2 linked regions of the Canis lupus familiaris genome follow. Each later gene encodes a partner of the first gene's protein in a complex. Links are inferred from orthologs where the notes say so. Each region holds a gene or a part of one and is shown in the gene's direction. Other genes may lie near its edges. The genes, in order: TUBGCP5 and NME7.

Region 1 (3,827 bases):
GACTCCATCCTGGGATTCCAAGATCATGCCCTGGGCTGAAGGCAGGCTCTCAACCACTGAGCCACCCAGGCATCCCCAGAAATAATTTAAATACATGCAAGCAATACATATTCATATATACATACCTACTAGTCTGTTAACTTCTCCCTTCAAATTATTATTTTTTCTTTTTTTTAGATTTTTTTTTTAATTTATTTATTCATGAGAGACACAGAGAGAGAGGCAGAGACCTAGGCAGAGGGAGAAGCAGGCTCCATGCAGGGAGCCCGATGTAGAACTCGATCAGGGACTCCAGGATCATGCCCTGGGCATGAAGGCAGACGCTCAACCACTGAGCCACCCAGGCGTCCCTCTCTTCAAATTGTTTCCTAATTTGGGTTTTGAGGATTATACCATACAAAAATGTGAAGAGCTTCCTCATTCTTTTTTACAAATTGAGTATTTAGTTGTGTGAATATACATTTAGGTTGTTTCTGATCTGCTATTGTCAATAGTGCTATAGTGATAACTGCTTACTTAATATGAAGCAAGCTATAGTATAAATTTTTTTTTTAAGATTTTATTTATTCATGAGAGACAGAGAGGCAGAGACATAGGCAGAGGGAGAAGCAGACTTCCCACAGGGACCCTAATGCAGAACTCAATCCCAGTACCACGGGATCATACCTGAGCCAAAGGCAAATAAATGCTCAACTACTGAGCCAAAGGCAAATAAATGCTCAACTACTGAGGCATCCCTGTAGCATAAATTCTTAATGGAATTCCTAGGTTAAAGAGAATGTGATGGCATATGTGATTTTGATACGTATTCCACATGGTTGCCTGCAATGTATGATTACCCTTGCCAACAGTGTGTTGTTAAACGAGCAATATATATGAGTATCTGTGTCCTCACAGTCTTGTTAACAGTGTGTTATCAACAGTGTGTTATCAAACAGATTTAAAATGGTAACCAGCATTTTTAGCTTCCCCCCCCACCCTCTACTTTTATTTTCAACTACTGCAAAAATATAGTACCCAGACATCCCAGGTTCCCATCACCCAACTTCCTCCAATAATTCCCACCTTACCATAATAATGGTATATAATAATTATAATAATTATAATATGATATGATAATTATATATATGATATGTATATGATAATTATATATATTATATATATATGATAATTATAATAATTATCAAAACTAGGAAATTGACATTGGAACAATACATTTATTGTTCTGCAGACCTGGCATGAGTTTCAGCAGTTTTGCAGGCACTTGCTATTTTGTGGGGAAGGGAGTGGTATCTTCGTGTATAGTTCTGTGACACTTTATCACATGTGACAAATATCACATATATTTGTAAATCCACTTCCATCTTCAGGATACAGAGCTCTTCCATCTCCATGAAAAAACTTATTCTTGCTCCCCTTCGTAGGAACCATCTCCTCATTAATATAATAGCCCACTGAAGTCTTTTTTATTTGCCCAGTGTAGTTTTAATTTGTATTCTTTTGTTATAATTGAGGTTGAATATCTCTATATATTTAGGAATCACTTTTATTTCCTTTCCTTTCCCTTGAACTGTGAGTTCCTTTATATATTATTTATCTTCTGAGTTTTCTTTCTTTAGAGAAATTAGCTCCTTATGATGGGAGATTAAAATCCACCACGCCCGGGCAGCCCCAGTGGCTCAGCGGTTTAGTGCCGCCTTCGGCCCAGGGTGTGATCCTGGGGTCCCAGGATTGAGTCCCACGTCGGGCTCCCTGCATGGAACCTGCTTCTCCCTCTGCCTGTGCCTCTGCCTCTCTGTGTGTCTCTCATGAATAGATTAAAAAAGAAAATCTTAAAAAAAATAAAGTGCTTTCTTTAAAAAAAAAAAAAAAATCCACCATGCCCTAGTTTGCCATGTCTTTCCATAAGTGACTTAGCATTTATATCCTTTTCTGAATGCAGATATTCTTCCTTGCTAAAGGGTTTGAGTTTTTGATATTTTGCAGACACTACAATAACTCTTGCAATAGTGGTGGACAAGTTGTCACCTCGACTGGCTCAACTCAAAGTTCTTCACAAAGTATTTAGTACTGGAGTAGCAGAAGTTCCACCTGACACTCGAAATGTTGTTCGGGCATCTCATCTGCTCAACACCCTGTACAAGGCCATTCTTGAATATGACAATGTTGGAGAAGCCTCTGAGCAAACTGTATGTAAGACCTTTATCCTAAGTTGTGTGACTCCCTTCTGTTCAGCCAAAGTAGTGGTAGATAGCCTGTCATAGCTCTTTGTAAAAATACTGCTTAAATCATGGTGTGTCATACAGTTGTTCAGAGTTTTGTTTTGTTTTGTTTTGTTTTAAAGATTTATTCATGAGAGACACAGAGAGAGAGATAGGCAGAGACACAGGCAGAAGGAGAAGCAGGCTCTATGCAGGGAGCCTGATGTGGGACTCAATCCCGGGACTCCAAGATCACGCCCTGGGCCAAAGGCAGGTGCTAAACCACTGAGCCACCCAGACCCAGACGTCCCTGTTCAGAGTTTTTAAATAAGCTTCTAAAATCAGCGCTACAGGAAACTGGCTTCTTGGCTTTAATCACAGAGATTATGGGGAGGATGCGGCAAGGAGAAAGCAAAACGTAAAAAGCAAGATGTGAAAAACATCTAGCTGACTTATATAGATATTTGCAATTACTCTTCAATAAAAATACAGATTATATAAGGTATCTAGAGTAGTCAAATTCATAGAAACAAAACAGAATGGTGGTTGCCACAAACTGGGAAGGGAGAAGCGGGAAGATGTTTAATGGGTGCAGAGTTTCAGTTCCGCAGCATACCCAAGAAAAACATTCACAACAATATGAATATATTTAACACTACTGAACTGTACACTTAAAAATGCTTAAGACAGGGGCACCTGAGTAGCAGTTGATTATCTGCCTTCAGCTCAGGTCATGAGCCCTGGGTTGGGCTCCCTACTCAGGGGAGTCTGCTTCTCCTTTTCCCTCTGCCTCCCACCTTGTCCTTGCTCTGTCTCTCTAGTGCTCTCTCTCTCTCAAATAAATAAAGCCTTTCAAAAATGCCTAAGATAGTATTTTTTGTGTTACATGTTTTAATTTAAAATTTTTTTAATTTAAAATTTTAATACATACCATTTTAAAATTTTTTTAAATTTTAAAAAATACAACTTAAAAAAATACAAATCTAACGGAAACTATAGTTTAGAAAGCTGCAGATTTCTTTGGATACACATTTTAGGTGTTGTTTCCTAGTACATTGATGTAACTTTGTTTTCTCACCATTTTGGTCCTGCAGTTCAGTATAAAAGTTTTATTTCTTTCAGCTATGCAATTTTTTTCCTACTGGGAAGTATAGTAGAATGAAATCATTTCTTCATTCTTTTTTTTTTTTTTTTAAGATTTTTATTTATTTATTCATGAGAGACACAGAGACAGAGGCAGAAACATAGGTAGAGGGAGAAACAGGCTCCCTGCAGGGAGCCTGAAGTGGGACTCAATTCCGGAACTCCAGAATCATGCCCTGAGCCGAACGCGGAGCCACCCAGGCATCCCTCATTTCTTCATTCTTAATGGACATTTTGCTAATATGTTTTAGATAGGGTAGCTGTTCCTCAGTTTGTACTATCCAACTTAAGACTGCTCTTGTAACCCTCTTGTAACTTTAATTCCCAAGAGAGTCCTGGTATGGACTACAGATGATATGGTCATCTTATCTTTAGGTGAGTTTTCATAAGGATTTTTATAAAGTATGTTTTAGATTTTTAATTTCTTAATTTCTGTCAAAAAGCAGAAATCCCATCACTTTTTAAAAGGTATTTCAGAGGGGT
Region 2 (3,827 bases), on another chromosome or scaffold:
ATTTTCTTGGAAATTATTCTTTATTGTAGTCTTGCTTTATGTTTATATAACAGTACCTAATTTAATGTCTTATATGTAATTAGCATGCAGTAAATATTTTTAAGATTTTATTTATTTATTCATGAGAGACAGAGAGAGAGAGAGAGAGGCAGAGACACAGGCAGAGGGAGAAGCAGGCTCCATGCAGGGAACCTGATGTGGGACTCAATCCCTGGTCTCCAGGATCATGCCCTGGTCTCTAGGATCACGCCCTGGGCCATAGGCGGCGCTAAACCATTGAGGCACCCAGGCTGCCCGCATGCAGTAAATTTTATTAAATGAATGAATTAACTAGTTTTCTGGTATTAATGAAAGACACAACAAAAGATGTAGCTACAGTTGTTGGAGGTAGTCTCATAAAGCAGTATTTTTTATGATGAGGCACTACATTCTCTGCATTATTACATGCCACACTCAGGTCATAGGCTTAGTCTACTATGTGTTTGAGAAATCTGTATTAACAGGACATTAGGTTATAAGTTTCTTGAGGCAAGGATATCGCTGAATATTCTGATTTGTAGTAGGTAATTGTTAAGTGCTTATTGAATGGATAAACATGGATTTGTTCTCTTGATTTTGATTCCTTAAATCTATTTTTTTCCTTTTTTTTTTTTCTGCTAAGGCCTAGCAGAATATGTATGAAGAGGTCATGTGGGCCTTTTAGAATGGAGGTTATGAATACTTCTTTGTACATCCTGTTTTTTAGAAATCCTCTTCAAAATGAATTGAAATTATTTAAAAGTATGGAAGGGAGTCAATGATTGATATAAAATAATCAAGAATTAATAGGTATAAAAGGGTCATACTGTGTGATTTTCTCCAGGAGAATCCTGTCCTCTCTTATAGCTTGGATGAGAGAGAAGCATAGGCTTACTTTAAAAAGTATTCTGTCCCTGCCTAACACTGTGGGAGGAATGGTGTTACTTATTTCACGGTTAAATTTGTCACCGTTGCCTTGTGCATGTACAGAAGTGGCAGAGGGAAATGAACTGTTGCTTTTCATGGCTTGGGTTACTGTGACTCAGTGCTGGATTTTTAAAAAAATTTTCATTTATTTATTTATGAGAGATACAGAGACAGAGGCAGAGACGCAGGCAGAGGGAGAAGCAGGCTCCATGCAGGGAGCCTGATGCGGGACTTAATCCTGGGGCTCCAGGATCAGTCCCTGAGCCGAAGGCAGGCGCTAAACCGCTGAGCCACCCAGAGATCCCCAATGCTGGATTTTTAATCAAGAACCTGTATGTATTCTTTAATAACTTGAGATAAGAATATCCCAGAGTAGCTTTTATAGGATATTTTTTCATAAATATCAAATATAAATATCAAAAATAAAAGGATATTTTCCCAAGACCTATTAATGTCTGTTTTTTCTTTATCACTAAGACCAACTCAGTGTTTATTGACTGAACATTTCTGACATTCTTTGAATTCTAATCTACACAAAAATAAATTCTAACTGTAAATATAAGACCACTCTCATCATTTTCTCTATTATGCAATTTTATGTAACTTCAGTGGTAAACCACATGAAAATAAAAAGGAATTTCCTTCTGTACCTTTCAGAGCAATGGGAAAAGCATTAATCAGTAATATGCATTTTAAGTCACTGAAGTAGCCTTAAATTCAATGAAACACTGATTTCTTTCTTTCTTTCTTTCTTTCTTTCTTTCTTTCTTTCTTTCTTTCTTTCTTTCTTTCTTTCTTTTTTTTTTTTGGTAATGGTAAATGATTTGGCAATGCTAGTGATCTGTAGTGACTCAGACTACCACAAGACACTCAACTTATGAAAATTTTATTTTGCCAATGCATATCTCACTATATCTGGTAGTTCTGAGATCATAATATTAATGTGTGTGTTGAAATACTCTAATTGTAATATATCCTTATTAACAGAGATACGAGGTTGACAGAAAAATGAAGCAAATCAAGCTTTTATCTATTTTGTAGTGAGCTTATCCAGTTTATTACAAGTGGTCCTACTATTGCCATGGAGATTTTAAGAGATGATGCTATATGTGAGTGGAAAAGGCTACTTGGACCCGCGAACTCTGGTATGGCACGTACAGATGCTCCTGGAAGCCTGAGAGCCCTCTTTGGAACAGACGGCATAAGAAATGCAGCTCATGGCCCTGATTCTTTTGCTTCTGCTGCCAGAGTAAGGTGTTTTAAAATATTTTAATTCTGTTTTTGTTTTTGTTAGATGTTTTATGTCAGAGTAAAGCATATCTGTCATGGCTGACTTCGGGTAGGTTATACAGATGATCAAGGAGTAGAGAAAACCTTTGACCCTTTGCCTAGGATTAAAGTGTTTCAATAATATGTTTCTTTTGTGAACTGGTAACCTGGTCATGGTCAAGATAAGTGTTCTCCAGTTAAAATACTTGTCATCTCAGTTTACATTCCAAAGTCATTTAAATTATTCAGGCTCATCAATGTTTGAATTACTGACTTAATGTGAGACCAGCTTATGGATAGTAAATATTCAGAAAGGAAACATCATTTAATATATTTTATTTTTGACTCAGATCTAACACTATCTTCAAGTTTAACATCCTTTTCCTGTACAGAGCTAGTGTTCATGAAAAAGTCTTTATGCTTCCTACAATTATTTCTTATTTTTAAGTCCATATAAATAAGGTGTAATACTGGGTTTATGCTGATGTTGATTTGATGAAGTTGCAAGTTTATTCTTAGCATCACAACAAGTTTCTCATCTGATGTAAGATGGCTTTTAGTCTGGTCATGCTTTCGTTAAAATAATATTAGACAGTTTTTTAATAATTGAATTTTCCTTACAGTTCCATCAAAAGATCCTTTCAGCAATTCCTTCAAATTAGACTTTGAATCTGATTGTTGTGGTCTAGGTCACTGTTATATTTTATTTGTACTACTGCAAAATAGTAGTAATTCTTCTAATTCTCTTTTCCTCTTCCTTTTCCTCTTATACTCAATTTATAAAAATTTTACCTTGCCCACATAAAATTAACTAGGCCAAGAGTGATCTTTTAAAAACAAATAAGATTAAAAATTCAATTATTAAAGACTCCTCAGTGAATTTTTATTTCTTTTATAATAGAATCACAAGCTTCCAGAGCTTCACCTGATCTGATTCCCATCTGTTTCTCCAAATTTATCTCCAAGTAGTGTCTCCCTTATTCACTGTATCCCAGGTTCACTGACCATCTTACTATTCCTTGAAGAGTGTATTTTTGCCTGGTCATTCAGTTAACAGGAAAGGAGGCAGAATAATTGAGTGGGAGTGAGGGAAAGAGGGGCTGATGAGGTCACAGAAATAGGGGAGATAGCACATGGTTTTGTAGGCCATGGTAGTATTTTTGGCTTTTTCTCTGAGGAAAACTGGGAGGTATTGCAGGGTTTTAAGTGGAGGACTGATATATTTCACTTGGTATATAAAAGGGCCACCCTAGCTACTGCAATGAGAATAGACTGTAGAGGATTAGAGTAGCAACAGGGAACCCAGTTAAGAGGCTCTTAGGATAATCCAGGGAGATGATAGCCTGCACCAGGATGGAAGCAGTGAGAGGAGTATAGAGATACATTTTAAAATGCTTTTAATGGTTGAAGGTCAAATGAGCAAGATCTCCTTCCAGATTGAATGTAGAATATGAGAAAAAGAGAGAGCAAGGATTACTCCACAAAGTTCTTGGCCTGAACAACTAAAAGGCTATAATTTGCCTAACCTGAAATAAGGAAAACTATGGCTAGAGTCAGTGTAGATGGAAGCTCAGGAGTTACATTTTGGACATTGCAGACTTAACATGCATGTT

The links.
Region 2: TUBGCP5 (region 1) and NME7 share a complex: the UniProt entries of both Homo sapiens proteins name them as parts of the gamma-tubulin ring complex. The link is inferred for Canis lupus familiaris from reciprocal best matches to the Homo sapiens genes TUBGCP5 and NME7.

The regions. Positions count from the first base shown.
Region 1 is NC_049224.1:31,915,679-31,919,505, forward strand, and holds part of TUBGCP5 (gamma-tubulin complex component 5), read left to right. Parts: intron 1-1,986; coding exon 1,987-2,189; intron 2,190-3,827. UniProt on the Homo sapiens protein: Component of the gamma-tubulin ring complex (gTuRC) which mediates microtubule nucleation.
Region 2 is NC_049228.1:29,200,050-29,203,876, forward strand, and holds part of NME7 (nucleoside diphosphate kinase 7), read left to right. Parts: intron 1-1,986; coding exon 1,987-2,194; intron 2,195-3,827. UniProt on the Homo sapiens protein: Possesses an intrinsic kinase activity. Displays 3'-5' exonuclease activity with a preference for single-stranded DNA. Does not seem to have nucleoside diphosphate kinase activity.